Linked DNA regions of Neurospora crassa OR74A. The protein of the gene in region 2 interacts with the protein of the main gene of each other region in a pairwise test. Links are inferred from orthologs where the notes say so. Each region holds a gene or a part of one and is shown on either strand. Other genes may lie near its edges. The genes, in order: NCU06856, NCU09813 and NCU00018.

The links.
Region 1: the proteins of NCU09813 (region 2) and NCU06856 interact in binary tests that used the Saccharomyces cerevisiae proteins (3 or more experiments, as listed by UniProt). The link is inferred for Neurospora crassa OR74A from reciprocal best matches to the Saccharomyces cerevisiae genes SMT3 and UFD1.
Region 3: the proteins of NCU09813 (region 2) and NCU00018 interact in binary tests that used the Saccharomyces cerevisiae proteins (3 or more experiments, as listed by UniProt). The link is inferred for Neurospora crassa OR74A from reciprocal best matches to the Saccharomyces cerevisiae genes SMT3 and CDC48.

What each region holds. Positions count from the first base shown.
Region 1 is NC_026502.1:1,738,853-1,749,174, reverse strand, and holds NCU06856 (ubiquitin fusion degradation protein), read left to right. Parts: upstream 1-4,622; 5' UTR 4,623-4,840; coding exon 4,841-4,843; intron 4,844-4,932; coding exon 4,933-6,078; 3' UTR 6,079-6,361; downstream 6,362-10,322. Other genes in the region: NCU06854 (RuvB-like helicase 2), read left to right, coding at 590-598, 675-901, 977-2,186; NCU06855 (hypothetical protein), read right to left, coding at 2,575-4,077; NCU06857 (hypothetical protein), read left to right, coding at 7,377-10,088. UniProt on the Saccharomyces cerevisiae protein: Functions at a post-ubiquitation step in the ubiquitin fusion degradation (UFD) pathway. Has a role in the endoplasmic reticulum-associated degradation (ERAD) pathway.
Region 2 is NC_026501.1:4,130,685-4,140,500, forward strand, and holds NCU09813 (SMT3, variant 2), read right to left. Parts: upstream 5,752-9,816; 5' UTR 5,565-5,751; exon of another isoform or gene 5,347-5,564; 5' UTR 5,310-5,346; coding exon 5,070-5,309; intron 4,938-5,069; coding exon 4,878-4,937; 3' UTR 4,335-4,877; downstream 1-4,334. Other genes in the region: NCU09812 (LIM domain-containing protein), read left to right, coding at 816-903, 996-3,742; NCU16378 (DUF1903 domain-containing protein), read left to right, coding at 6,520-6,522, 6,618-6,665, 6,746-6,758, 6,829-7,001; NCU09814 (hypothetical protein), read left to right, coding at 7,823-7,837, 7,913-7,976, 8,044-9,816. UniProt on the Saccharomyces cerevisiae protein: Not known; suppressor of MIF2 mutations.
Region 3 is NC_026503.1:2,301,150-2,311,916, reverse strand, and holds NCU00018 (cell division control protein Cdc48), read right to left. Parts: upstream 5,813-10,767; 5' UTR 5,383-5,812; coding exon 5,327-5,382; intron 5,235-5,326; coding exon 5,207-5,234; intron 5,141-5,206; coding exon 5,085-5,140; intron 5,031-5,084; coding exon 4,781-5,030; intron 4,715-4,780; coding exon 3,223-4,714; intron 3,164-3,222; coding exon 2,571-3,163; 3' UTR 2,091-2,570; downstream 1-2,090. UniProt on the Saccharomyces cerevisiae protein: ATP-dependent chaperone which probably uses the energy provided by ATP hydrolysis to generate mechanical force to unfold substrate proteins, disassemble protein complexes, and disaggregate protein aggregates.

The DNA.
Region 1 (10,322 bases), on a different chromosome or scaffold from region 2:
GTATATAAACAGGTCGTCCGACTTGCTTAGTTCTCTTTCCAAATTGACTGCTGGACAAAGAGGCTTTGTGTTGTGATGATCAGCTCAATCAATCGAATTCCGATGTGGGTCTAAAATCCGGGGCCTTGTGGGACCCCCAGGGCCGCGCCCGGGAAGGTTCAGTCCCACCCGCCGGCACAAGTCCGAGGACTGTCTTCAGTTCCTTCAAGTCTCCGCCCTTCTCTGTCACCGTTTGGATCCTCAGCCACAGTGGCGTGTAAGTCGACGTATTGTTACGTAAACTCGGTAACAAACCACTCGCTGGAGGCCCCGGCCTGTCTACCCATGCACGCAATTGGAGAAGTCGCTGCAAAGTTCCATCACAGCGCGCGGCGACGCGCACTGCAGCTTTGAACTTCCGTCGTCGTACTTCTCGCTCTTTTTCAAGCACATTCCATCATTCACTGCCAAACCATCCCTGCATCCACCTGCAAACTAATCCATCACCACCCACCCACCGTGATACCCAAATCCAAGCGACCTTTCTTGGAAAATTCTGTAACGTCAATCGGCATATTCAATATTAATATCTTGCAAATCAGTGGGCAATATGGCTGCTGTAAGCTCCCCACCTACCCCCCAACATCACAATACCTTGACGGAACACCAGCTGACCTCTTGTGCCCATGCCATAGCAGGTCGTTACCGTCGGAGAGAGTAAGGACCTCCGGGGTCTCAACCTCATCGCAGCGCACTCGCACATCCGCGGGTTGGGCGTCGATGCCGATACACTCGAGCCCAGGGTTGCCTCCCAAGGCCTTGTCGGCCAGGAGAAGGCGCGTAAGGCGGCTGCTGTCGTTCTTGAGATGATTAAGCAAGGGAAAATTGCCGGCCGTGCTGTGCTGATCGCCGGTCCGCCCAGGTTAGCTCGTCTTGCTGTGCCAGTCCTCATGCGCATACCGTTTCGTGTACTGACCTAGCTATGGAAAAACAACAGTACGGGAAAGACTGCTCTGGCCATGGGTATGGCCCAGTCCCTCGGCACCGACGTCCCTTTCACCACCCTTGCCGCTTCCGAAATCTACTCTCTAGAGATGTCCAAGACCGAGGCCCTCACCCAAGCATTCCGCAAGTCGATTGGTGTCAGGATCAAGGAAGAGAGTGAGATCATGGAGGGTGAGGTGGTGGAGATTCAGATCGACCGGAGCGTTACCGGCCACGCCAAGCAGGGCAAGCTTACGATCAAGACGACCGACATGGAAGCTATTTACGACATGGGCAGCAAGATGATCGATGCTATGACCAAGGAGCGCGTCATGGCCGGCGACATTATCTCGATAGACAAGTCATCTGGAAAGATTACCAAGCTGGGCCGATCGTACGCAAGGTCGCGCGACTACGATGCCATGGGCGTCGACACCAAGTTCCTGCAATGCCCCGATGGCGAGCTACAGAAGCGCAAGGAGGTCGTCCACACAGTAACGCTGCACGAGATCGACGTCATCAACTCGAGGACCCAAGGCTTCCTCGCCCTCTTCTCGGGCGACACGGGCGAGATCCGCAGCGAGATCCGCGACCAGATCAACACCAAGGTGGCCGAGTGGAAGGAAGAAGGCAAGGCCGAGATTGTGCCCGGTGTTCTGTTCATCGACGAGGTGCACATGCTCGACATCGAGTGCTTCTCGTACATCAACCGCGCACTCGAGTCCGACCTGGCCCCCATCGTCATCATGGCCAGCAACCGGGGCCACTCCAAGATCCGCGGCACCGACTACAAGAGCCCCCACGGCCTGCCGCTCGACTTCCTCGACCGCATTTCCATCATCAACACGCACTCGTACACGCCCGACGAGCTCAGACAGATTCTCACGATTCGCGCTCAGGAGGAGGAAGTCGACCTTACCCCCGACGCGCTCGCCCTGCTCACCAAGATCGGCGCCGAGGCCGGCCTCCGGTATGCGAGCAACCTCATCACGACGTCGCAGCTAATCTGCGCCAAGAGGAAGGCCAAGCAGGTCGGCGTTGAGGACGTCCAGCGCAGCTTCAAGCTGTTCTACGATCCTGCCAGGAGCGTCAAGTTCGTGCAGGAATCGGAGAAGAGGCTCATCGGCAGTGATGGCGTGGTCGATTTCCGTGTCAATGGCGGTGCTACGGGAGAGCCAGCGGCTACTGCGGCTGGTGGTGATAGCATGGATACCAGCAGCTAAACAGTCATGGGACAATGCGCTACAAGGATTAATGAATAATCTTGGGGTTATGATTTTGTTTCGTCTAGGCGTTTAATTGGGATGGCTCATCAAAAAGGCGTCTTTGTTATGATAACACTGTTTTCTTAAGCTTTATGTGTGCCTAGTCGTGGTTTTTTGTCATGTTACTGATTATGGTGATGGCATGGAGTCTGCAAATATCCGTTTGTATCATACAACGAATCGAATCAAAGTCGAAGCGTGGGGTAGCAGGAAAGGGCATAGTAGGGACGAATGACGACCAGCTGCTGAGGAGTTCCCAGCATGGTGATAAGGCTTTTGATTCTCTCGTCGCTTGGAACCGGGGGTATACTATCACACACAATCGTACAAAACCTAACCATGATGATCATACGAAGGCTGCAACCCTAGACCACTCCCCCTCCCCTCCGCCCACCGGCCTGAACTCAACCGCCTCCTTGAAGTATCCCGCATCCTGCCATGCCTTCATGGTGGGCCCGTCATACGGCCCTTGGCTTCCTCCTCCGTCTCTCCCATCTGTCCACCTAAACTCCCACATTTTGGGTTGTCCGTTTAGTGACGATGGCTGCTCTTCCTCCTTTTCAGGAACAGTAGGCTCCACCCAGGTCTCGCCCGTCTCTGCTCTATACTCTCTCACCAACCACTCCCTCTCCTTATCGTAAATATCCGGATAATCCCTTCCCAACAACTTATCCGCCGCCTCAGTAATGGCATCAATCGCCTCCCTGATCTTTTTCTGCTTCGGATCCTCCACTTCCTCCTTCTTGTCATCCACGTCCATCGAATCGATGCCCTGTTTCCTTTCCTGCCTCTTTTGCTTCCACTTGGGCACCTTCTTGGGCCCCTTGGTTTGATCTTTTCCAAGTCTTGCCAGCGCCTCCAGCGCCGTCTCCCCTTTTTCGAGCGTCAGGATCAAGTTTCTAAGCAAGTCCCCAGTGGCGATCTTGTCATCTTCCCTCTCCTGCGCGCGCCTTTCCGCCTCGCGCTTCTCGTGCGCCAACGCCGCTTTTTTGATTTCCTTTTTGGACAAGCCTTCCAGCCACTTATCGTGCACGGCATTTTGGTCGGCCGCTTTGCGGATGTAGTTGCCCGCCTCGTCAAAGGCACCCTCTTCATTCTCGGCTTGCATGTTGAAGGCGTCAATCTTGGGCGCATGTTTCTTCAGTCCGCCTAGGCCGACCTCTTCGTCTACTCCCTCTTCGGCGATGGCGGCTGCTATGGCTTCTTCGTCGTCGTCGTCTTCGTCTTCGTCGTCCGATTCGGCTGAGGCGGCGGGGTTGATGTTGATGGTTCCGCCAGCTTTGGAAGAGAGGTCTTGCCCTTCGATTTCCGAGTCGGCGAGGAAGTGGACGGATTTTTTGTCCTTCGCAGAGCCACCACCGGCTGTCGTTGGTTGAGCACCGTCGTCGTCTTCCAAATCGCCAAACATGTCTACCTCGTCATCTTCATCGGCATCTTTCCCTGCCCCGTTGGAAGGCTTGTTGTAATTATCCATCATCTCGGCCAGATCCACGTCCTCGGCGTCTTTGCCCTTCTTGCGGCTCTTCCCTCGGGCTTCCGCGCGGTCTTCCAGGTTGTCATTGTCGGAATCGGAATCGTACCCATCGATGTTGACCGCGCCGCGCTTGGTGGCTCGGGAAAGCCCACCGATCACGTCGGCGGCAAGAACCTCCTCGTCAGCTTCGTCGAGGTCGTCATCGTGCGCTGAGGGCGCGAGCGCGGAGGGGTTGCGCACGTCGAACTTGACTTTTTTGTGGGACGGCCCGCTGGAGGTGTCGTCGTCGTCGTTGGAGCGCGATTCGCCGTGGTGGGCGCGGGCGTAAGCTTCGCTGGCGCGTTTGGGGCGCGCGGCGGAGAAGCGGGAGGACATGGTGGTGGCTGTTGTCTTCAATCTCGTGTGTTGGTGTGTAGGCGTTGACGTCAGCGTGTAAAGGTTATGTCGTCTTGATAGAATGGCCTATTCTGCCCCTGTATCGCAGACTTTGTGTAGATATGGCCTGAAATGATGACTGTTTTGCCTGGGTCGACGGCGAATGACAACTCTACAAGTAGAGGATGGTGTTTAAGAGAGGATCTAGATGGCGAATTGGGAATATCAAGGAAGAACATCACTAGAGGTACCTTACCCGTTGTCAGCCCCAACGGATAACATGGAGCTCTCCACTGCCATCAAGGTCCAGAGCGTTCTGCAGTGGACAGGCAGCGCTCAAGGTACCTTTGACCTAAGCGTTTAAGAAGGGGGGGAGCTCGCGCCACGGCAGCACGGTTTCACAGATCTGACGCCACGGCGGCACCTTCTCACCCCGCCAATCCGGGCCGCCGAGGCGGCAGATACATAGAGGTAGGTACTGTACGGTACCCATGCCAGGGCTCCAATTATTACCTAACGTGCCTGTAACTTTCGGGCCCAGTTATGTCATCTGCGTTGTTGCCTTTGGAACCTTCCACGCGGTCAGGTTATTTCAACATCGTCGCAACCTCCCTTTCACTATCGCTTGTCACGCTCTGCTGTTCCGGATCCCACTACCTATTCTGCGAAGCTTACCTCGAGATCTCCCCTCTTAATACAAATTCCCTGTCGTTTCCCTTTCTGCAAAATACTTTACTCCATCTCTAGCAGCTCCCTCGCGATCATGGTAAGCTATCCTTGTCCTCACGCTCGATTATCAAGACAGCTTTTCGACCCCTCTATCTCTTGAAACATTCTAACATGTGCCCATGACAGTATGGAGACATCTACAGTCGCGCCACTGGTCGCTCTCGGGGCGCGCAACGCTTCGATGAGTACTACCGCTGCTACCCCCTTGTCATGGCGCCCGGTGCCGAACGACCTGAACTCAACTACGGCTCCAAGATTCTGCTCCCGCCCTCCGCTCTCGACAAGGTTTCGCGACTACACGTCCAATGGCCCATCATGCTAGAGCTTATCAACGGCTCGCAGGGCACCCACACACACGCCGGTGTTCTGGAGTTCGTGGCTGAGGAGGGCAGGGCCTACATCCCGCAGTGGATGATGCAGACCCTCAAGCTCGACGTGGGCGACATGATTCAGATCAAGACGACATCTCTCGAGCTTGCCAGGCTTGTCAAGCTCCAACCGCAATCGGTCAACTTCCTCGACATCAGCGACCCTCGTGCCGTCCTCGAAAAGGCCTTCCGGAACTTTGCGGCGCTGACCAAGGGCGACGTTTTCAACTTTGAGTACAACGATGAGATCTACGAAATGGCGGTACTGGACGTCAAGCCGGAGACGGCCAAGATGGGTGTCTGCATGATCGAGACAGACGTCAGCGTCGATTTTGCGCCGCCAGTTGGCTACGTCGAGCCTTCGCGACAGACACAAGGCAGTGGTACCAGCACACCACGCAACGGAAGGGCTGTTGGCGGAGGACTTCCGGCGGGTGGTCTTTTGCACAACCAGGGAACCATGGCGCAGGCTATCAACTACGATGCCATCGCACCAGGAGCCACCACCACGTCGGTGGGCAACTTTCAAGGTGAGGGTCTGCGGTTGGCGGCGAAGAAGGGTAGCAAGACGGGAACACCGAAGCCGGCGACGCCGGTGGCGGGTACGTCGACCAACGTTAAGGACGTGGTGCTGCCCAGGAGGAAAAACAACAACGGCCCGTTGCCGTTGCGTCTGCCGCCCAACAAGCTCTTCTTGGGCTACGAGATCAAGCCTGTCAAAACTGCCGCAGATAAGGAGAGGGAGGCGGCGGCGGCGAAGCAGCCGCACTTTGCGGGCCAGGGACAGACGCTCCGGGGAGGAGTCCCGAAGAAGAAGAGCAGCGATGGTGACGACAAGGCGGCGCAAGGCGAGAAGAAGCCGACAGAGAGCAAGGGAAGGCGACTTGACGGCAGGAATGTCTAGGGACAAACTTTCGTTCAACAAGCTTGTTACTAGATGGTTTGATGCATTGTCGGGCGTTAATGGGAAACAGGGTCATGGGAAAGGGAGGTTCACAGTCAAGGGATCACGGAACGTTTGTAGCGTCATTACGAATACACATGGACAGGCCACGATGCGTTTCAAGATAGAAAAGGGCTGTATATGGGATGTTGAGTGCTGAACCGCACGATGTTTACATAGGCCCATGCAGCTGACTAGAATTAGTGAAAAAGGAAATGATACCTCGATGTCCTCCTATAGCTGGAACATGCCAAGGTGATGTTCAACAAGGTCCGCTGGCTCAATGGCAGAGCGTCTGACTACGAATCAGGAGGTTCCAGGTTCGACCCCTGGGTGGATCGAGTTATCTTTTCTTTTGCCAGCATAGTATGCTGCGGCGTCACCAATTTATTTAAAAAAAAAAAAAAAAATTTTAAATTTTTTTTTTCTTTTTGTTCTCTTTTTGATCCCTTGAAATGCCGGAATTTGACTTTGGTGCAAGATGGACATGATACAAAGAGTCCCTGGTTTTTTTTCTTTTTTTTCCTCATTGTGGACGGTGCATCGAGAGCGGCTTGGTCCGTCTTGTCTTTATCTTGAGCAGTCGCTTTGTCAGTGTCATGCCAGGAAGGTCCGGAGTTCTGCCTGCATCCACTTCGAGGTCTCTCCTTCCAGAATTTTGCATCCTTAAAGATTAGTCATATGTCAACGATGCTTGGAACGAATATAGTCGACAACATCAACAGCATGACATTGAGTTCTGATGTTAGTTTAGTACCAGCGGTTTTTTGGCTTTTCCCAGTTGCACTTCCAAGAACTCGGTCGGTCGCATCATTTGAGATAAGTCCTTGATTAGCTAATGTGGGTCGTGCAGCAGGCTGGCTGGGTCCCGTGATTGGTTGAAAAGGGACGAAATCGAACGGCATTGTCGGTTTAGCACTTCCGCACAGTGAGCAAGCAAACCCAAAGCGCCTCCCACTTCCAGGGCATTTATTGATTGACTGACAGGGTTGACCACTTCCTGTTCCGGACTGGTTCTGTGCTCACTGCGACCGGACCATTCATCATCAGTCGCAAACCGAAGCCATCTTCCGACTCGCAACCATCCGTCTTCTTTAAACAACACCAAGGCAACAAAACAAACTGACTGCAACCTTGCTGGATGCACCTTGCCATATTCTTTCTTTGCTACTCGTACATATCCACAAACAAACAATCAATTGCAAACAAACCCTTTCGCACCACTCGATGCCGCTTGCTGAACAGCACAGCTAGTAGCCATGTCCAAGGTGGAGGCCCGGCGGGCTTCGGCGCGAAGCCGTACTAGATCATCTGCATTATCGGCGACGGAGGCGTTAGAAGTAGCGGCGGCAGTGGGTGGTGGCCGTAGTCTGCGGCCACGCCGAGCCGGGAGTCAGGGGGGTGGTGCTGTGGGAGCCGCTGTTGGTGTTGCAATCGGCCGCGGTGCGACATCAAATCTGGGCCCAGCGAGCCCACTAAGACGAAGCGCTCGCAGCGGGGATTCAGCAGCAGGGGCAGCCCGGAACAGTGGTGGTGGTGGTCCACGTCGTTCGATCAACGGCCGTAGAGGTGATGACAACAACACCAGCACTACAAATCACAATATTCGCCCGCGTAAGTCGTCCATCAACTATCGTGAAGACTCTTCCGACGATAGCGACAGTGCCTCTACTACGTCTGATGAAAGCGACAGCGAAGAAGAAGAAGAAGATGATGATGACGGAGAACAAGATGCACGGCAACCCGCACGCAGGTCCGCCATATCAAGACGGGGGCGTCCATCTCGGACCGAGCTCAACAATAAGTCACGAGCAGTTGCCTCCTCCGGTCGCCAGGCGCTAGGAAAACGGCGCCGTCCCCGGTCCGGCTTCTTCCATGAAGACACCGACGGAGAAGATGACGACATTGTCAACACCGACCAGGAAAGTCCCCCCACTCCTCGCAGGGGCAGAGCAACGGCCACATCCGTAGCCAGAGCCAGGAAATCGTCAGTTCCACGTACCCCAGAGCGAAAGAGAAGAAGAGACACGCCGGCGACTGCCACTAAGAGACGCACGCCCGCTTCGTTCAGGAAATCTAAATTGGACCTTGTCCACTCTGGCGGTGCCGAAAAAGACACTGCCGAAAAGGAACCCAAAGTCATCCCTCCATGGCAACATCTTCCCTATGAGCTCTGGCTCTTGATTTTCAAGTTTGCATCCGCTGAGCGTGATCGAGATGCTGTCAACCTTCTCTTATCTGCGAGCCGTCTGTGCAGGGAACTTGCGGAACCAGCCCTGACGGCCTTGTATTACTCTCCCCCCTTGCTCACGCGGAAAATGGCACATGGACTCGTGGCGCTCTTGTCCTCGGATCCCTCAAAGATGAAGTATCGCTACAGGTGGAAAGTAAAAAAGTTGCGCATCGATGTTGAGGAGATTGCTTCCAAGACTTATAAAGGGCAACATCTCGACTGGGAAGCCCTTTTCACCAATGTCCCACAGCTCATGTCTATCGACTTCTTCCATGCAAAGGACGATGCCCCATTCCGATCTCTTGAAGCGAGCCTCAGATGGAAATATCCAACTGCATTGTGGAACTTCCTCAACGGCGGCGACCCTCCGGGAACCAAGCACAAGCCGCTCGAACTCGAGGCCTGGAGATGGAACGGAAGGTTGATGACCCCCGACATGACTTTGCAAAGTCCTGCCATCATTCACCAAACTCCGGCTTTTTCAAAGCTCAAGAAACTTTGCCTTCAGAACTTCCAGGTTCCTTCGATGCCCCTGCATAACTGGCCAGCCGTTGTCCAAGAAGATGAAGGGTTCGAAAACTTCTTGATCAGCGAGTTTGCCCATGCCATTAACGTTCTTCCCCAACTGGAGTATCTGTCTATCGAATCCTCCACTATTGCAAACGACTACTTGCTCCGTCTTCTTCCCAAAACCTTGAAGACGCTGGAGCTCGTCAACTGCTGGGAAATCACTGCCGATGATTTTTCGGAATACCTTCTGACCCGTGCCTACCATCTTGAACATCTCTATCTAAAGCATAACCAGTCCCTCAGCTTGAGTTTCCTCACTGTCCTGGGCACTGCCTGTCCACACTTGCAAACGCTGAGCGTAGATCTGAAAACATACAACCACCATGAATTCTACAACGACTCAGACCCCAGCTATGACGAGGTCCTCAGCGTCCAAGAAGTCCCCGAGTGGCCAGTGAGTCTGCGCACCCTCGAGCTTCAGAACATGCGCAAGTGGTCCGCCGACGCAGCCGAGAACCTCTTCCAGTCCCTGATCAAAGCCGCTCCCGATCTTCCCGACTTACGCATCATCGATATCAACGCCAAACTCAACATTCCCATCCGCCAGCGTTCCGAAATGCGCGATAGATGGGAAGCCCGTCTCAAGGGTGTCTTTCTCCGCAAATGGGAAGATCCCAAGCCACCCTTCACACTACGCCCCGTACCAACACCCACCCCCAACAAGCACAAGCAGATAATACCCACCTTCTCAACGAGCAAACTACCCCCTTCTGCTACCAAACGGTCCCGCACCGATAACTGGGTAGCCCAATCCATCGAAGCCCAACAAGGGCCTTCGTCGTCCTCTCTCTCTACCCGCCGAAGCGCCCGCATCGCAGCTTTATCCTCTGGCTCCTCCTCATCATCATCCAACGGCGGCACACCCTCGCCTTCACGCGGCCACAGCGCCCAACGCGGCGAACGCGAAGTATCCGTGGCTTCCTCGCTATCATTATCAGCAGAGGAATTATCTCTTTCGCCTAGAGAAGCCAACGTAGCGGGCGAGATTCTCTACAGACATGGCTGGTGCGAGAAGGTGGAGCTGCAGTTGGACAACCAGAAGTTGACGGAGCAGACGTTGACCATGGAGGACTTTGTGGATGGCAGCGGCGATGATGATGAGGAGGATTCCGAGTGGGATGGGATGGACAGGGATGACGATTATGGTGGTGGGGGGTATGCTTGGTGATACATATTGATTTTTCGCAACTGACTGCTTTGTTGGTTTGGTTGGTTGGTTGGTTGGTTTGGTACATGAAGTTACCCGGAACTGGGCCTCTTACACACACACACACACACACACACACACACACACACACACGCACACACACGGGATTCACGATTTGGGGGGGTTGGGTACCTTGCTTATTTGCTTTCCATATCATATCCTCTGGCGCTCGGTGCTTGCTGGAGGGATTATTAA
Region 2 (9,816 bases):
GGAGTGCCCCCTTCGTCTTTCCATCTTGTTTTGACGATCAAGCCATCCTGGATATCCAATTGCACGGCAGCGAATCGCTTGGAACGGATACCGTTTAACTGTGACCAACTCCGTCAGCTCCTTACCTGTACACTACCTATTCACGGTCGTCCACCTCCTACACTAGATGTCTGGACACATCACATTAGATTGACCTAGATTATTTCTTTTGTTGTTCTTATTTCCAGCATCGCCCAGGCAGTCAATTCTTTGGGTGTCTCCTTCGTTGTCAACATCGTCTCGTCACGAAACAGGCTTGAGGTCTACGAATCGAAAAGTCATTGTTCCCTTCCTTGCCTTCCACTTGTTTCTTTGCATTGAGACGGGGCTGGGACGAGGTGGGTAGGCACAATCAACGAGAGACAACAACAACACCAACAACTACAAACAGGAACAACAACAACAACTACTACTACTACTACTACTACAAACAGGAACAGCATCATACATCACAACAGACACAGCAGGCGTCGTCTTTGATAACCGTGATTTCGGTACTTCTACATACAACCTATAAGCAGCAGAGACCAATTCCGCCTACTGTGTAGAGTCCTTGACTCCTTTTTAACCGACTTGTCCGGCGCTCCACCTTCCCAGCCAGGGACTTCCCAAGGCTCACTCCGCTTCTGACAGCCGTCGACCACCAACCCTTTCCTTCACCGTCTCTATTTCTCCACTCTTAACCATCATTGACGATCAACATCCCGCCATTCCAATAAATAAGAAGAGATAGGGCTGCAAAACACCTTCGTGAAGGGGGTCACCTCTCGCCCGCCATGTTTGCCCGGAGTAACTCGAGCGAGCGTGCTTCGCCCAAAAAGGCCACTCCGCCGTCGCCTTCTTATATGAGCAGCGAGCAATTTGGTACGCCGTTCTTCCCGACTATCTCCTAGGTGCTAGGTGGGGGTGTGGACGTGTTTGATGGCCTGTCTCGCACTAACACAAACACCATCCAGCCGCATATCTTAAAGATCTACGCGCCAGTCGACTTAACAGGCCTGGTGGTGCACGTCCACTGCCCGCTTCGAAACGCGATACTTCTTGTACTACTGCTGCCAGTCCCTCGCCTAGCAGCCGGTCATCTTTCACACAAGCCCCTCGCCTCTCCGAGACCGCCTCCTCTCCCATCCAAAATGGCACTTCAGAAGCGAACAATGCATCCAGCCCAACCGAGCTGTCCCCTGGCCGCAGCTCCGTGACCGCCAGCGTTGGCTCCAAGTACTCAAACGTGACCCGAGGTAGAGATTACTACCCAGACCGTCCAGCCCGGCTCTTGAAGCCATCAGAGGTGGTACCTTCTGCTACCTATATCGAACGCGGTCAGAGATGGATGGAAAAGGAGGAGGCTGTTTCTTTGCGCAAGGCTATGGAGGAGATGGATCTAAAGGGACACAGCAAGAACGCCAGTGGTGGCCCGCTGATTAGGCCGGATGTCGGCCCCGGCTCTGGGAACGATGAGGCTCCGGAGCAAACCGAGGAGGAAAGGCGTCTCTACGAAGCCGCGCTGGCCGAGGCAGCTGAGTTAGTATGGCAACACGAAAACCCCGGGAAAGAGAGACCGCCCGAGCCAGGCACCCCATATCGGTATAAGCCTCACTTGCGCAAAGACAGCTACGCCCATGCCCGCACAGCCAGCGTCAAATACGGCAGCGATGTGGCCCCCACTGGTCTAGCCAGAGATACTAGCACGTACTCAATGTCGGGAAGTTCGACGGATGGCGAAGAAGGACAAGGGTCAAGTCGAAGCCCAGTATCGCCAGCTTCAGCTCGCCCGCTGTCTTTCAGGCTGCCGGAGACACCTAGGGCGAGCCATGAGCGTGTGCGAGATGGCTCCCCAGAATCGGGTAACTCCAAGTCGTACAGCACCTTACCAGGTAGTAGCGGTTACCTACGGAGTGGTTCGAAGAAGGACATATTTGGTGAGCCCCAGAAGCCGTTCCCAGGTGACAAGATTTCGGAGGAATCAGAAGCGCGGTCATCTTCTTCTAGCCTGGATAACTTTGCACAAATCAGAACTCCTGAGCAACTGGGAGCGAAACCCAAGAACCCCCTGAATCGCGTACAGTTTGCCCCTGAAACGTCCCCGGCAGCGGATGGCGTTGCCTCGTCCCCTCCCAAAGACGGATCTAGGTACGAAAAGTATGAGATTCACCGTAATCCTGTCACCCAATCCCGCAACCCTCAGTACACCACCAACGTACGCCCCGCTTTGCCTTGGGAAAGAAAGAAACCGGTGCAGGAAGAGGTTCCTCGAAAGCACGGCATGGAAATCCGCAGCGATGAGATACGGCAAGCCACAAGCATGAAGCTGAAAGACCGCAGCGTCAAGCTACCTACGCCGTCTGCCGTCAGTGACAATCCCGGTCGACCCATCGTAAGCTTTGACAGACAATGGAAAGCTCCTGATGAGGCTGCTGATGACACGCCAGAAGGACCGTCGAGATTCGGCAAGAGTGACGACCGCTCGACGCCGCTCGTCCCTGGACGTTTCCGCAGCCAGCAGTCGCAGCAACCCCAAGAAGAGCCGCGGCAATCGCAACACCACCAACAACAACAGCAGCAGCGAGCACTCCCACAGCAACCCCAGCGACCACGACAGCAGCCGGGCTCGACGCCGAACGTCCCTGTTATCCCTGTTTCGAATGGTTTTTCAACCCCACCGTCGTCTTCGTCGCCAACAAGACGCCCACTCCCAGTCCCAACCCCACCCAGTGTTCAAATAAATGCACCGCCGCCTTCATCTTCTATCCCCTCAATATCTGTTCCCTCCATCGCTGTCTCGGAGTCAGCTTCATCATCACGATCTAACATCCCTCAGATTGTCCTCCCAGGCGGATCTCACGATGATGGACCTAGCATTCCAGTAATCGTGACGCCAGACGATAAATCCAGCACCTCCAATAGCAGCAGCTCCCGACGCCCGCTCCCCACCCCGGGAGCCGTAGGTCGACATATGCCAGCTCGGCCACGCAGCCACTGGTCACCGGCGCCCAAACCAGCAGGCAGCCGCGCCACGGCTCGCTGCCACGAGTGCGGCGACTTCATTGAAGGCCGCTTCGTCTCACTGGCCGGGATGACGGAGCGCTTCCATCCGCAGTGCTTCACATGCTACTCATGCGGCACGTCGCTCGAGGCGCTCGAGATATCTCCAGAACCGGATGAGCACCGGGCGGCGCGGCTCGAGCGCATCGCCCGGCGGACCGCAGGCGAACATCTCCCCGAAACGCCGGGCCAGACCATGGCCGAGGACGGTGATGCGCGTCTCCGGTTCTACTGCCACTTGGACTGGCACGAACTGTTCGCGCCGCGGTGCAAGCACTGCACGACGCCCATTATGGGCGAGCACGTGGTGGCGCTGGGCCACCACTGGCACTTTGGCCACTTCTTCTGCGCCGAGTGCGGGGACCCATTTGAGCGCGGCATGACGCATATCGAAAAGGACGGTTATGCGTGGTGCGTGTCGTGCCAGACAAAGCGCACCGAGCGCAGGGCGCCCAAATGTCGCAAGTGCCGGAAGGCCGTCATCGGGCAGTACATTCGGGCGCTTGGCGGCGAGTGGCACGATGAGTGTTTCCGCTGTGCCGACTGCGGCGGCGGGTTCGATGATGGACAGATATTCCCTAGGGAAGGGAGGGCCGGCACGGTGCCGGGTGAGATGGTTGTTCTTTGTACTGGATGCATGGAGAGGGAGTTAAAAGCATAGGCATACGGAAGTGGATGGGTTCTTCCACTTTTCCCAATGACGGACACAAAGAAGAGTCCAGGACAGAGTATAGGGATATAGGGGCAAAGGTCAAAGCATTGTAAGGGTGTTTTTTTTTTTCTTCCTTTTTTTTTTCTTCTGCATAGCATTGGAATCAGGATGTTCAAGTTGCTCTACATTTTCTTTTACTCAATAGTGTTTAGGGGTTCATATGTACGAGTATCGAGATACAAACAATATTATAATAATAACACATCAACACACGAAACTAGGATGTCATGGTGTGGTTATTCGGGGTTGCCTTGGACTTGTCAGCGTAGCCTACCTGATAGGCATTATGGACGTCATGGTTAAATCAGCCTTGGAAGATAAGCAAGGAGTTGACGATATCCCACAGCGCTCGGGAACGACGATCGAAGCTGGGCAAATTGGAGATGATGGTAGAGGAGAGTAAAGGCTCTGTCTACGAATATGTCACTGCAACGGGTTCACTGGCTGAGCGGGGACAGATACAACAATGTGAGTCCTTGAATTCCTAGGATAATAAACACTCGACAGCGCTCGAGAATGTGCATGGCATCATAAACGAGCACTCGCAGTATTGTTACAACATCTGGGACTGGAAAAAAGGGGGGAAGAAAGGGGGCAGAAGGCCATTTGGAAAGATGCCGTGTTTACGCTTCAAACAGAAGATAAGATGCCGGCAAAGCCAGTTGGCGTCCCGTCAAAGTATGGTATAAATAGAATCAAATCAATGTTCCTCGATACCCCTCCGCCCTATGACCCCAATGATAGCACCCTCCGAACTCCGGTTCTCCTAGGCATCACCTATGCGGCGAATAGGAACAAAAGTAGAAAAAGTGCGTGCGTCCAGTGACAATGGCAAAAGCTGTGATGTTCTCCGTAACCCCGTGTCCAATCCTGCTGTCACATTCCGAAACTCCCACCCAGTCCCTGTCCTGTTATAGAATCGGATACCACTCGCGAGCTATCTTCTGGTGATCAAGTCGCCGGTTGTCGTTCCGCTTGCTACTATGCATATGGCCGGTTGTAATTTTGTCTTTTTTGTATTTTTTTTTGTTGCCTTTTTCTTTCTCCCATCTCCTTGTAGTTGTAGTATAGGATCGCCTTTTATCTACCAGCCGCCGACCTGCTCTTGGTGAACTTCCAGGCAATCACCGTCCTGCATCTCGAGCTATATTATGGTAGCAATGGACCTGGTTAGCAAACATATTTCTGGCGTGCTCGGGTGCTTCGTCTACCATGGTGTTCCCGGGCTAGCAGCAACATCAACACAGATGTTAGGTGCATGCCAGACTTCACTTACAGTGTCCGGGGTGTCCGTGGGCTGTACGCGCTGACCCTCGAAGAGGAACCTAACCGAAGCCAGCGTCTTGCCCTGACGCTCGCAGAACGCCGTCATGAGCTTCTCGAGCTTGGTGCTGCGCTTGATCTTGAAAAAGACCTCGTTGTTGTTATCCGTCACCTTGATATTAAGGTGCTCGACGGCGGGGGCGGCGGCATCGGAGCCAGCGTTTCCACTTCCGTTCTCAGCGTTGTCCGCCATGTTGATGACTTGGGAGTTGGAGATGCTAGGCAGAAGTCTAGTCGCAAAGAAATTTCGTCAATGAAAACTGGAAGGGCCGAGTTTGAAGTGTCGATGTTCGGAAATGCTAGAGTTCCAGGCTGCGATGGAAGTCAGAAATTGCGCGCGTGTCAACGCGCCGGAGAGTCTCGTCCTGCCTGTGTTGTCGCACAACGAGATGGAGCAGAAATTGGTGGAGGAACAGCAAAATTCGAGAGGAGAAGCGGATTGTCTTACTGCAGTAGATAGGCGTATTGAAAGACGCTGTGGCAGACTTCTGGTCTTGGGAAGCGTCGAGTCAAGTAGGTCCGTGAGAATTTAGAGAAGTGGAAGGCGAGGTGCACCGGGTCAAGTCGTGCTTTTGAGGTGGAAGCGTGGTTGCGGCGAATGCAGTAAACGACGGCTGGAGGGCGGTTTGTAAGACTGCAGCAGACGCAAAGTTCAGGTGGGGCCAGCCTTGAAACACCAATATTTGTACGAAACCTTGATGCCTCCTCTCAACCTGGCCAACTTTTGTGGTAAGTTGCGCTCCTTAAGGCTCTACTGAAATGCGACACATGCGTATAATACCCGTACCTGGTCCAAAAGGTGAACATGAGACGAAAGGGCCGAGGAAGGCCAATTCGTGAAGGTGTTCATACACCGAATTGCAAGCCCACAGAACTAGGTGCCCAAGTATTTCACTGTCCGCCACTTGGCACTACTTCTAGGTCAACCATTCGAATACCAATCTTTCGCTCATCTTTGCAGACCACCCGACCTTGCGTCGCACAAGCCCTATAGTAATGAACAGTTCCTTGTAGTCCTAGTCCGCGGTTAACTGCCTGTTCCAGCGTTAGGTTGTAGTGAGGCTGGTAGAAGAATGGTACAGATAGGTTGACGCAGTGGTGGTCACCGATAAGTGTTTTCGATCCGGAGAGTTCCTGACATCATCCACCCGTTTTCCTTTACTGATAGGCGCGGCAACTGGACTGGAGAATGGGGTACCGAAGCACCGGGATTGTTTAGGTTGTGGGGATTCCAAACTTGCAGGAGGGAGATCCTCGAGCGTAGAGTCCCACTCGAAGCTCTGGCTTTTACCTTCCATTTAATGAACACCTGAGCAAAGGGTACGTCTAACTGCCAGTTCTTGACTTCTTCGCGATCCAGCTTCCAACCAGACGGAGTTCTCGACCGTTCAAATTTCGATACCATGGTGGGTTTAGGCGCAGTACCAGCTTCAGGTCTCCCCTTACAGAATGTCTCGGCTCTCCCCTGAGGCACTGCTGACCGTTCATGTTGCTTTGTTAGACATTGCAAGACGACCTCGCAGCCAGTCCGCCATGCCATCCACGCGCGGTTTGTTCCATGTTTCCCTTGTTCTTTTGTTACGGCTTGCACGCGTGGTGTGCTGACATGCGGTTCTTTCGTGCCTGCAGTGCGCGATACAAAGTGAGGATGACCAGCTTGACTCCTGTGTCGTTCAGAACTCGCAGTTTGCTGACCTCACTTCACGCCGCAGATTGCCTGACCAGAAACGGATTTGATGAGAGCAAATGCCAGAAACAGATAGACGCACTCTACGAGTGTTGCAACGCGTTTTACGAAAAGAACAGCGAAAGCGCGTCAACAGTTAGCTGCCCCAAAGCGAGCCTGCTACGGCTCAAGATGGAACAGAGAAAGAAGGCTACATGAAGGAAAACAAGAGGAGTCGAAATGTATCACTTGTCCAGATATGTCCACCTAAACGCCCGTGAAGGTGTTAGGTAACTTAAACGGAAAGTGCGGTATTCCTCTGGGCGATCCTTGAGCACGCGAGAGACCTCATGGGCCTGAACAAGAAATGATGGTCTTGTTCCGAGACTCTAATAGGAATGCCGTGGACATTGTAAGGAAAAAAAAAAGAAGAAGAAGAAAATACCAAAGAAGTTTTTGGGGTCCGTCGCTTTTTGTATCAATTTCTCACACAGGTGGAGGGGCTTGAAATTCGGGTGGGGTTCATAGGTCTTCGCCCAGGGACCCATATTCTGCCGGCCGCAGATCCCAGTCCGGCTTTTTGAGCCGCATGGAACGCGTCGTGCGGACGGCAAGCGAGTTGCTAGCGGCAGCTGGAGCTTCGACGTGTGATTGGAAATTCGTCAATGTGAATTATTACAACATGGATTACCTTTCCATACTTGGGCGTGTGTAGAACTACACTTGGACCTTTTCGCTACACAACACGAAAGCTACCTTGTGCTCCCACTACGCCTTGTAGACACAACTCCAACATTGATCTCGATCTCAGTCCCCGAGAGTGGGACGTCATCTTGCCCAGCAACCGGTCTGTCTTTCTGGAAGGAGCTTTCAACGAACAAGTGGACAAAGCACAGCATGGAATGCGATTGAAAGACAGAAGCGTCTGCCGTGCCCTACCAAGAACCCGCGACGCGCCTACCAAACAGTCATCACAACATCACGCCAATCGATCTACCCCCATTTGAACCTCGCGTATACGGTAACGACCAAGGGCGAACATGGCACCCACAGTTGTGAGCAACATCAATCCTCCGATACGCCGACGCCGCACGGCAGTGTTCATTTCTTCTAATACGCAGTTGCGGCAGGACCCTTCTGTTACCTCAGACGCGAGCTTTTCATTTGCCTCGAAAAGCGAAAGCCCAGATCTAGGTTCGATTATCGTGGAGCTTCGAATGCCCTAACAACAGCTAGCTGCTAACACTACATGCGCATCCAGGACTTATACCTCCCCCCATGGCCCAACAGCCGTCATCATACCGGCAAACCGTCATCCGAGCCGGCGATGAAGTCGAGTTTTTTTCGGGAGAGCTAGACCGCCACCTCACCGACCTCAATGGAACCACAGAAGAGAAGCGCGCCCAGGTCTTCCAGCTTATCGACTCTTACCATGCATACTCGAGGAAAAGGGCGGATCGACTCCGCGAGCGTCAGCCACGCAAACTCACCCTTCGCGAAAATGAGATGGACATCGACGATAATGAAATTGATGACCTCGCCGTAAACTTTGACGAAGAATATCGGAAGGCAGAAGAGGAGGCGCAAACTTGGGATCTTCTTCGGCGCATGCTGCCCCTGGAATATGGCCAGGACGAAACATCTCAGTTGAAACAACACACAAAACCATCCTTACAGTCACGCAACCAATGGTGGAACGATTTCATGCTGTCTGACTCTTTGGCAAGGGAACAAAAGGTCGTGCTAGAGTGGCTTCAGAGCAGTGCAAGCCAGGGACCGCCAGTAGACGACGTTGTGAGCCACCTTCAGGAAAGCGCAGAGAGGGGTGACATTCTTGCCCATGGCTGGCTTCATACTCGCACCAAGATCAAGCTGCAGAAGAGCGTGAACGGGTACCAAGGATCCCTTGACCCAAGGGCATCTGGCTTTGCCGAATCACATCTCAGCTCCAACACGCTTGTCACCCAGCTCGATCCCGATGCTATCACACGGCAGGCTCGTAAATTGGAAACCCAGGACGACTTTTTCGAGCGCGCCATTTGGTTGGGCTGCTTTGAGATGCTACGTCGTGGCTTTTCAATGGCTGAGATTCGAGATTGGTGCTCCATGAGGACGGAGCTATGGAGAGCTGCGTCTCTTACGCCCCTACCGCTTGCGAACCCAGAAGATGAGGACCAGCCGGACTTTGACCCGCGTTCGCTCGTTCTATGGAGGCGGATGTGCTTCTCTACCGCTCGGGATGGCGGAACCAGTGACTACGACCGGGCGGTCTATGGCCTGCTGGCCGGTGATATCGCGAGTGTAGAGAAGGTGTGCGAGACGTGGGATGACCTGCTATTTGCTCACTACAACGCTCTACTTCGAACACGGTTCGACTCGTATCTGGTCAAGCACGGTGGAGATGAGGCCGCTAGGATCGCCCAACAGTTCCCTGCTTTCAACGCTGTTTTGCATCACGGGGATCCGCATTCAGTCGGCAAGAGGCTCGTCACCTTACTCGAGACAGATTTGAGGACGAGCAACGAAGCTACAAGGCCGTCCAAGGCACTACAGGGTGCCATTATTGCGCATGAACTTGGCCGTTATTTGACTAATCAGGGACTCGTCCTGGCGAAGCACGCAAATCAACGATCGAAGTCCAACTTGATACCTCCAGTTGATCTGCAAGTCCCAGATGACCTTACTCACCCTAAATACTTCAATCTGTCGGACCACAGCAGCCTTCGTGTGCTCAGTCACGTTCTCATCATCTTCACTACTCTCAATAGGCTCAGCGAGACCCGTACCATTTCCGATGCCCATCAAGAGGCCATGGAGAACATTATCGCAGCCTATATCAGCTTCCTCCGCCTCGCCAATCTGGAGGAGATGATACCACTTTATTGCTCCAAGCTACATGGGCAGCGCGTATACGAGGCGCTCAGCCGAAATCTTATCCACATTCTCGACAACGGTACACGGAGGGTGCAGATTTCCATTATGAATAGACTAGGCATCAGTGTCTCGGAGTTTGTCAAGAGGCAACCCGAGATTT
Region 3 (10,767 bases), on a different chromosome or scaffold from region 2:
TTCTGTCGGCGGTCTAGTTGGTTTTCATATCGATATCCCAAAATGCGTTCTATTTTGTTCTTCGTTTGTGTCCAGGGTCTTTGTGTTTCCTGCGTCCCGGTTGTTCTTTTCCAATACTGTGAATGCGGGTGCATATCAGGGAGGCCAGGCAGATGTGTTTGGACAGATCAGAAACCAAGAGGATGGATGTATAGACACACATATGGACAGCCCGGGGCGCTTGGTTGAGAAATTCAAGGATGTTATGATGGAAGAAAGTAGGACTGGGAGTGTCAGAACTCATAGTGACTCGCATCGCACACAGGAGTTTTTTAATCCGCGAAGGATTTCCATCAAAACCGCGCAGAGCCGTAGCATTTACTAGCCAGTAGCTGGTCGATATCAATCAGATGACTACCTAATATAAGATACTCAGCATGTATGAGTTTTTACCCTCTTGTTTGTTTCCAGTTATGCCTAACATAACTGAAGTTGTCGTCGATCAATGGGGTTATTGAGAAACAATGGACCAGAAGAAATGTCAAACAATCATGGACACGGTCTATCGTTCCATGATACGGATGTCGACTACTCTTGAATTCTTCGGAACGAACACCTTGTATGTGTCTCAACCGTCCCACAACGAAAAGTCTTCACTACATAGTCGTAGATGTCAAGTACACATTTATACGCTCCGCGGCTTCAGATTTGCCTTGAGCAAACGAATGAATGCCGTCCCTGACGAAACGGGAGAAGGTCCAACCAGCATATTGGGAAAAAAAAAAAAGAAAAAAAAGACAGTCTCACTGAGAAGTACATTGCCAGGTTGACATTGTGGGTACCTAGGTATGCTTCGTTTTCATGTTTGAGTTCTCAAGGATCGGCCCCGGCCTCAGGCACTTTTGAGTTTGGAGTACAGTGCTGTTTGAGAGGGTAAGGCACCCGGACTTGATGATGAGGATTGAGAAAATCGTTTGTAGGGCGTAGTAAATTCGAAATTTTCTCGACTATAGCTCTCTTTCTCTTTGGGGTCTTTTAATGTCTGTCGACCACAATAATAACATGTGTGTTGTTGTTTTTGCTTGAAGTTATTGTTGACAGTGGCAATATTCTCAACAGGTTGTAAAAAAAAAAAAAAAAAAAAAAAAAAAAAAAATAAAAAAAAAACCCGGCAGTTTCTTCCCGGCCCCTTCTGGCTGCAGTGTACCTACTAAATCGTGTGGAATTTCTTAATCATTTATACTAGTATTTTTGGTGACTGAATATATCCCGGGTACAACTTCCCATCCGTTCGCTCCTTCCCTAATCCATCAACATGCACATCTGCCACCAAAGGGTATGCAACACCTCCCGTCTAACGTTGGCCGAGACTTTGAGCCACCCTTCTCGAAAAAGGTCAACGGCTTTCTCTTTTTTTTTTTTTTTTTTTTTTTTTATCATTTTTTCCCTGCCGTCGATGCCGCGCCTAAACGGCTCTATATGCAAACCCAAAACTCAACTGCACAAATCATCCTTCCACTGGCGGTTCGAGTGTCCCGCGCCCTCTCATCCCTCAGCCTATTCAGTTCTGCCAGACCTGCATTAGGAAATGCGGACGGGGTTCAGTAGAGTTTTCCGTCAGTCCTTAGACCCGAAGTATCTTGGATGAGGCACATTGGTAGTCAGTCTCCTGGCAGTTTCGAAGGGCTCACTATCCGCAGAAGGGACGATCCTGCTTTTGATACCACTCCTTCCGACTCTGGAAGACTTGTTCCTTCCTTGCTCCTTCACTTTTTGGGGTAATGCTTCAATTTCTCATGCTCCATCTGGTTGGGCTTGTTATGTTCAGCCTTACGCCTCCTCTTCATCAGTCCGTCGGCCAGATGCAACTACGGCGGAAGAGATTAATGGATAGATCACAGGCAACGTACATGCTCAATAGTCGACATTATCTACCATCAATTATGGAAGGAAGACTGCCCGGCCTTGCTGTTGCCAAAAGTAGATTCTCCCTCGTCGAGCATCGCGGGTCGGGAGAAAACTGCACATGTACCTTTCACAATGTGGGATACAACTCCAGCACTGATCACTACAAGTGGCTCGCCCACTAGTCAGCCGTCGATTTTGTAGACATGACAAGTAGGCTTGGGAAGACGGTTGAGAATGAATTTGAGAAACTTGGTGCAACCTGAGAAGGGAGTAAAAAACGAGCCGCACGTTGACATCAGTTTAGGGTCACTGTTCCTATCTTCATAACCGAATTTGGAGGCAGTTGCATGGTGGAACCAAGTCAAACACAAAGCCAGCGAGGTTGACGAAAACATAAGTCATGGCCTGCATGATTTTCTCTCAGTCACCAAATCCGAATGCCAAACAATCGCTGAGGGTACCGCTGTTATGTGGAATCTTATAAGTCACATCGTTTGTGCCCAATTGCTCTGAATCGACCCTGGATGGGCCAAACAAAAGAGACTATGCAAAGACATTGTCAATCAACTTTGAAGGAATACCTCGTCAACTCCTATCCTTTGAGCGCATATTAACATACATGTAGAGCCCCAAGGCTAGCGGAAGACTGCTCTAATACTGTGAGTCTTGAATCCCTCCCCCATCTAGTTGTAAAGATCATCATCGTTGCCAGCATCACCAAACGAGTTACCAGCACCGCCGTTGCCGCTGCTCTCAACACCACCCTCAGGGAATTTGAAGAAGGCACCCGGGCCGGCGTTCTTCATCTGCTGGGAGAAAGCCTCATAGCGACGGATTTCGACGTCACTGACGGAGCGACGAGCCATCGACATGGCCTCCTCGAAGTGGCGCTTGGTGAGCTCAGGAACGGGGTCCTCAACCTCATCCTCCATCTCGACATCCTCGCCAGCGGCCTCGCGCTCCTTAGTGCGCTGAATATCGGCGGTGATAGACTCCTTGATGGCGATCTTGACAGCACGCTGGGTGATGAAGCCAAGATCGGCACCAGAGAAGCCGTGGGTCTTGGAAGCGATGTAGTTCAGGTCAACATCGGCAGCGACAGGGGTCTTGCGGAGCTGAGCCTTGAGAATACCGAGACGACCCGCCTCATCAGGAAGGGGAACGTAGATGAGGGAGTCGAGACGGCCGGGACGGCAGAGCGCTGGGTCGAGCTGCTCGGGACGGTTGGTAGCACCAATAACGAAAACATTCTTCTTGGAGGTCATGCCGTCCATTTCTATAGCTCAGGTTAGTATGCACAGCAGAATGGCACAAACCAAGGAAGAATCAACTTACCGGTAAGAAGCTGGTTAACAACACGGTCAGAAGCGCCACCAGCATCACCAACAGAGCCACCACGGGCCTTGGCGATAGAATCCAACTCGTCGAGGAAGACGACGCAAGGAGCAGCAGCGCGAGCCTTGTCGAAGATATCACGGATGTTGCTCTCAGACTCACCGAACCACATGGAAAGCAGTTCGGGACCCTTGACGGAAATGAAGTTGGCTGCGCACTCGTTGGCAACAGCCTTGGCCAACATTGTCTTACCGGTACCAGGAGGACCGTAGAAAAGAACACCGCGAGATGGCGAAAGGCCAAACTTGAGGAACTTTTCGGGATGGTCGACGGGGTACTGGACACTCTCCCTGAGCTCCTGCTTGACAGTCTCGAGACCACCGATATCCTCCCAGCGGACGTTGGGAACCTCGACAACGGCAACCTCGCGAAGAGCCGAGGGGTTGGAGACACCGAGAGCAAAGCGGAAGTTCTCTTGGGTAACACCAAGAGAGTCAAGGACCTCGGCGTCGATAGTGTCTTCGTCCAGATCGATGAGATCCATCTTCTCACGAATCTGCTGCATGGCAGCCTCGGAGCAGAGGGCAGCAATATCAGAACCAACGTAACCGTGGGTCTCAGCAGCAATCTGCTCGAGATCGACGTCATCGGCAAGCTTCATGTTCTTGGTGTGGATCTGGAGAATCTCAAGACGACCGGTAGGGTCGGGGATGCCGATATCGACCTCGCGATCGAAACGGCCGAAACGACGGAGAGCGGGATCGATCGAGTTGGGACGGTTGGTGGCAGCCATAACAACAACGTTGGAACGGGCCTTCATACCATCCATGAGAGTAAGGAGCTGGGAGACGACGCGGCGCTCAACCTCGCCGTTGGTCTTCTCACGCTTGGGGGCGATCGAGTCGATCTCATCAATGAAGATGATAGCGGGCGAGTTCTTCTCAGCCTCCTCGAAAGCCTTGCGCAAATTCGACTCGGATTCACCGGCCATCTTGGACATGATCTCGGGGCCGTTGATCAAGAAGAAAAAGGCACCAGTCTCGTTGGCAACAGCGCGAGCCATCAAAGTCTTACCGGTACCAGGAGGGCCATAAAGCAGGACACCACGGGGCGGCTTGATACCAATGGACTTGAAAAGCTGAGGATGCCTGAGGGGCAGCTCAACCATTTCGCGGATCTGAGCCATCTGCTTACGGCAACCACCAATATCATCGTAACCAACCTCGTTGAGGTTGTTCTCCTCCTCGTCACGCTGGATGGGCTCGCCCTCGCAGTGGATGACGGTATCCTGAGCGACAATACCGTACTCTGGTGGGTCCACCTCGACGACCTTGAACTCGACTTGCCTCATACCACCGCGGACAATAAAGAGATCGCCTTGCCTGACAGGGCGGTAGGCCTCGCGGAAGTAGGGAGCAAGGAAGACGTCGAAGAGAGATCCGGTGATGCCCTCAACGGTATCGGCGATCGGGAGGACGGCAATACGCTTGGCCTACAAGGAGATGCTGTGTCAGCAAGGTGCCCATTCTATGACTAGGTGACCGGGTTATAGACTAACATATTTGATATCGGGACAAGGGTGAATGGTGATGATGTCGCCGTGCTTGACACGGAGGTTGTGGCGAACGACACGGTTGAGGCGTGCGCTGCCATCGTCAAGATCGTCATCGGCAAGAACAATCAAGACGGTGTCCTTTCTCTTCTTTCCGCGGACGAGAACGGTATCACCACGGAAGAGCTGGAGCTGCTCCATGGTGTTGTTGGAGAGGGCGATAATCGAGTTATCATCGTTGACGGCGTCAGTAACCCTGCATATGTGTTAGCTCAGGTTGCAGTGCCCCGCATCTTCAACGTCAACCTACATCAACTGGTTGGGCTTCTTCTTCTTCTTGAGAATAGCAGTGGCGGTATCATCTTCCTGTTCCATCGGTCAGCACGAGTGGTTCTCGAGATGTCTTTGGCGGGCAAGCGAGGTTGAACATACGGCCTTGTGCTCGGCACCAGAAGCGTCCCTGTTTGGCTTCAAGTCAGCTTGGCGTCATTCGCGATGAGGGGGCGCGACAGCTTCGAGAGCTCCCGCGATCAGCGTCGCTGCTTCACGTACATCAAGTTGACCTTCTTCTTCTGCTCGACGTGGTCGGGATTAGGTTCGGGAGCCATCTTGACGTTTGTGTTGGAATCAGTAGAATAAATGTGGTATTTGGGTATCGCGGACGGTGATGCTAATCCACGGAGAGGATGTAGCGGGAAGAAGTGGTTTTGGAGAAAAAGAAACCAGAATTCGTAGCCTCAAGACCCGCTGATAAAGGGATTCTTTGGAGGTTGGACGGCGAGGTGAAGGTGAATGGTGTTGGGATGGAAACAAAAAAAAGGACCAGTCGGAGGGACGAAGTGCCTTTGCGTTTTGGTGTTGGAGTTGGTTTCGTTTACGTTCAGGTTGTCACGGCCAGGCATGGAAAGGACGGTTCGAGCCAAAGCAAGCAAGCAAGCAAGCACCGCTGCGCCGGCGAGTGGCACCGACCGCTTGCTCCCTCCAAGGCCAGCCAACCAGGGGCAAGCAGCTGGTGGCCAGCAGCTGGGGAGCGGCAACAGCAACAGCGGGCATCTGATTCAACTGTCAGTGTCACTGACTGACAAACCGCCCCGCCAGGCGACCATTTGGATGACGAAGTATGAGCGGAGCCTTTTCTGGGGCGACAAAGGTCCGTGCTTTTCGCCCATAGGTACACTTCCATTCTGCCACTCTGTCTGCTTCCATGCCCTGGCTGTTCCGGGCTCCAGGCACGCCTTCTGCCATCGCTCCGAGGATCTTCAGGTCGCCCGACACACCTGGTAAAGCAACGGTGCGGCCGGAACCTTCGAATGCGTTCTACAAAGCTGCTGACAGATCAAAGCTTCATCTTGTTTGACTTGGGGTTCGTTCCATTTCTTCAGTTCGAGATTTACAGTGAATCGAGGTTCGGATGCTGCAGCACCGCTCGAGCACCGATGTCCAGATGGCCAGGCTGTCAGGTCTCTCCAAGGAAGCGAGACATGCTGCCCTGGGATTTCCTATTTGCCCCTCCCCCGCAGTACGGACAACAAGGCGGTCAGTGGTTGTCGCATGCACCACCGGATGGCCTGTACAGAGGCCACAGGCCAACGATGCTGCTAGGTAGGTATCACAGAAAACGAAATGGAACAGGACAACACGCGGAAAGTTGGCAGGCTGCAACTGTCGTCTTATCGAGATTCGAGAGAGTCCGTTTGTCCGGACGTCGCAGGAACCCGCATGCCACTTTGGGTGGAGCAAGCGAGTGACAAGAGCAAACGACGACCCTCGACCCGACCGAGAACCGGGTCCTCAGGGGTTGTAGGACACGTCCCCGCCCGTGCTTATACGAGGCGCGCGCCGGCCATACGGCTCCGCCCCGGCACGCCGATACCCAGTACGTCCCGGAGTCTCTCCCCGGACTGCTCGGCGCCCGGCTGGAAGAAGGCGGGGCTAGAAGCCAGGGAGCTCGGTACCCTTGTAACGTACTACATACATACACTACAGTAGTGTAGTACCATGGGTGTTAGCTACCCCGCTGTACATGGTGACCCCAAAGACGCTGCGGCGCGCCGCCCACCTGGCCATTCAGAGTCCAAAGGGACCTCAAGGTCCCATAGTCCAATGCCTCCACGATCCGGATCCGATATACCGTTACTACCTACTGTACAACACGCATTGAGCCAGAATGGGGCTGGAGCTCGGAGGGTGTGGCATTTCCTTTCAGGCAACAGACTAACAATCAAACCAGCCTCGACTTCAACGACGTTCACTCTCGTGGAGTCAGTGTGAGCAAGGCTTGGCAGTTTTCCGGGCACAGCTCGTTAGACATGAGGACTACCTATATTCAGTCAACTACACCCGGCCCTCTGCCTTCCAACCCAACTTGCCCCTACCCACCCCAGTCACGAGGTACCCGGGAGCCTGATTGAGTTCTAATACTCTTGCTAAAGATAGGACTTCGTCAAACTCAGGACAAGATCACCCTTGTGTCCCTCTGTCAACGGATTTGAGCTCAGAATATCACCGAGGCAGCGTCGATATGGAAGACGTGACAACATTCAACACCAACTGACTTTAGCTAAATAACGAAGGCTTTAGAGACGTATCTACTGCAAAGTTAGGTAAGGAAGCGCAACGCGCTCTGGATTTGTTGATGGATATGTATGTGAAGCCCATTCCCTCGGTGTCACGTCCAGGACGAACAGCCAAACATGTTGAGTTCACTGATAGTAGAGGCGTGGACTCAACCGAACGTTTGACGTTCCTATTATCTACAGAACCTTGGCTCTGTACATCGGCTCGCCTTGCCCCATCCCTCCTGCCTCGAGCCTCGTTCACCTCGTCACTACATCACATTTCAATATTAGTAGGTTCTGGTACATTTGAATTTCCATCCCCTTATCTCCGCCCCTTCGAAACCAAGTAAGGTACCAATCCTCTCTCGCCTTTTAGCAAACATGAAGTCAAATTCTGCTGCCTGCTCTGCTGCTGTTTTGTAGCCATTCGATGGACTTCAATGGCCCCATGAGCGCCGTTCTTGTCTGATATCACAGTTTTAAAAAGGCAGAGGGGCTGAATGATTTCTACTGACTGATCGGATGTAACTACGTCCGGTCTGTGGCGTATGGGGATCTGATGCCAATTTGGCTCGCTTGGATGAGACACTAGGGCGACGAGGACTGAATCGTACGAGTGGCAAGATGGGATTACGCCTTCCGTGCCAGCATGGACGTCGAATGTTCGCACGTGTGACTATACTTGGGCTAGTAATGTAAGCTATGCCTTGCTCCAGGGGTAGAAGTAGAAGCTAGGCACCGTAGAGGTAGGGTAAGGTATAGTATGAGTAGAATGAAAGGGTGTAGTGGTAAAGTGGTGATGGACACCAATTCGAGCTCGCTGTTGAAGATTGACATGTTTGTTGATTGGATTTACTCAAGTACAGGAGACGGGGAAAGGGATGGTACGTATGATGTATGAGCGCATGCCTGTGACACGGCTCTGTTTTCTCCAAATGCTCTGCCTAATATATCCAGAGACGACCTTGGTCTGCTCTTCATGTGCATGTCAGTAAGAACAGTTCTAGGTAGGTTGTCAGACATTCAGCTGAGTTAACGCCACACAAGTGTCCTGCCTCTCTCTCTCTCTCTTTCTCTGATTGTTATGTAGACGTCTTAATGTTCTCAATGGGTTAGGGAATAGAAAGGGACACTACCGATTTCACCTGGCTGCCTTGAGCCATCGAGACTGGCTTTCAAATGGAAAGTATCAAATGCTGGTGGTCTCATTCTACCTTGAATTTCTTTGGGAGAAGAGATGGAAGCTTTCTTTAAGGACCGCGTCCGGCATCACTTCAAAGTTTCTCGTCATCTCCCGTTGCCAAATCATCTCTCCCCTAGACGCGCGCTTAAATTCAAGAGGTATATGCAAAAGAGCACGTTTTCGTGAGAATGAGTGGGTGTATTGATGTACTTTGCCCTATCACGACATCAAGTAAGTAGTATGTGGGCGTTTTTAGTATGTAGGATGTTCACCCAGTTCGGCAACGGCAGCCCTATGGCGTCTATTCTGGTCGGACTAAAATTATCTTGCTCCCTTTGTGGATATCAGACGCGCGTATGTGTGTTCAGGAGCCTAGCAGGTTGTGGGAAATGGTGAAAGGGTTGTATAGAGATGGGGAAAACGTGAGTGGTTGCACGGTGGGTGAGTGGAAAGAAAAAAAGTCCGAGGTGCTCGCACTTCAACACAAGTGGGACTGGGACAGGACCAGTCTTTCTACTCCCGCGTGGTGCCGAAAACATACTATATGTACAGTAAATTCAAAGCTACGCTATCAATTTTGCCAATCAGCCAAAGAGCCCGCCATTCCGTCAGCAGAATAGTATCGCTCCTGACCAGGTTTGGCGGTGTGGGGCAGGGCGAGACGAATGTCGTGTGAAGGCTGAACCTGCTCAGAATGAAGAGCTTGGGGAGGAATGATGGTCGCGGCACGTAACTGTACGAGTAGTTTTTGTGTTGTCATTGGGGGTGTAGTTCACATTCATGTTGCCATAAAGGAAGGCTGTTCCCATCTGATTTTGCTTTGCTGGAGCTTGCTAGTGGTTCGAAGCTGCCGTCCCGCATAGCGATGATGGACCGTCAAAGGAGGGGGAGAGAGTTGTGTTGGCACAAGGCAATCGCTTTCAGCCTCAAAACACTTCACGGGGCATCTACCCACCGTCAAAACAGAGTTATGCCCCCAAATCGGACTTGAATTATGCGTAAAGCTGAGGCCGTTTCGGGCCTAGTGAGTCGTTCAATTTCTTTCGCGATGAAATTCGACAGATATCTTGCTTCCAGGCAAGCCTTGTATGTTTCGAGGAAAAATTAGAGAATTAGATGGCCGCCTGTGTCTCATCTTCGAGAATGTTTTCCAGATCATTCAGCGTTATCCAACCTTTGTAGGAAATGGTGCTTGATGGCATGGCCTTTGAGTCAGACTGTCAGTAACTAGACAATGTGGTGTCTCTAGACCAAACTGAGAGATATCTTCACTTCATGTTCCATATAGAGGAACCTTAAACTGCTGCGGTTGCTGAACGGAGACAATGAAGACACTGGTGGACGAGGATGGAACTCGTAGACGGAGTGGCTCGGAAGACGGAACACGAAATACGGAGGGGCGGTGTGGCTAACAGTGCCGATTCACCGGAGGGGGGCTTTGACGTGACACTGCTGCCGTCACTGTGACCACTCAGCCGGGTTCAGACGCAGAATCAAAGCAAAACTTATGAGAAAGAAGGCGAGTTGTGGTAGTGCTGCCCAGTGGGACGGCTTGCTTCTAAGGGACTCACGTATGTAACCATGATAAGCGTACTTCAATCAGATGGAAAGCCGTATAACCCAGTGCCTGCACCACGTTGGACAAAGGGCGCGTTACGCAGCCTGCCGCGTAGTTTAAGCAGAACCGTGCATTAAGGTTGCATGGTCTCATCTGTCGACAAGTTTGAAGTACGACGGTGCTGGAAGTCGGGCGGGACAGATACTGGACCAATATCCAAGAGACAGATTGGATAACAGCCGGGTCATCACAACTCTGTCATGCCTGGTGGTATAATTTCTCTCACGTCAGTTTGCGAGGATCTGTTAACCGTAAAATCTATCAAGGCGAGCATGGAACTGTCATCCTGTTTGCTCTGTTTACAGTCGTTAGTAGCTTGATACTTAACGTTCACGGCAGCTTGTGTTGAAGGTTGGTAGATGTTGACTGGCGCTTGATGTGGCCGGGCCAACAGGGTACTCATGGCCTGTGTACGTGGTTAATGCATGGGGAGAATAGTGACAAAGCTAAGAATCTCACCTTTCGAAAGATCATGCGCAGATTCAATAAGGAAGAGGTGGGGGGTCAACCAATAGTGTGATGTACCAATATGGGAGAGATGCTATCGTGGATGCGCGGACCGGGAAACAGGAATGACTCTTACGCTAAAGATGGTAGAACCACCTTGCTTCGCTAATGTTTCGGTGTTATAAAC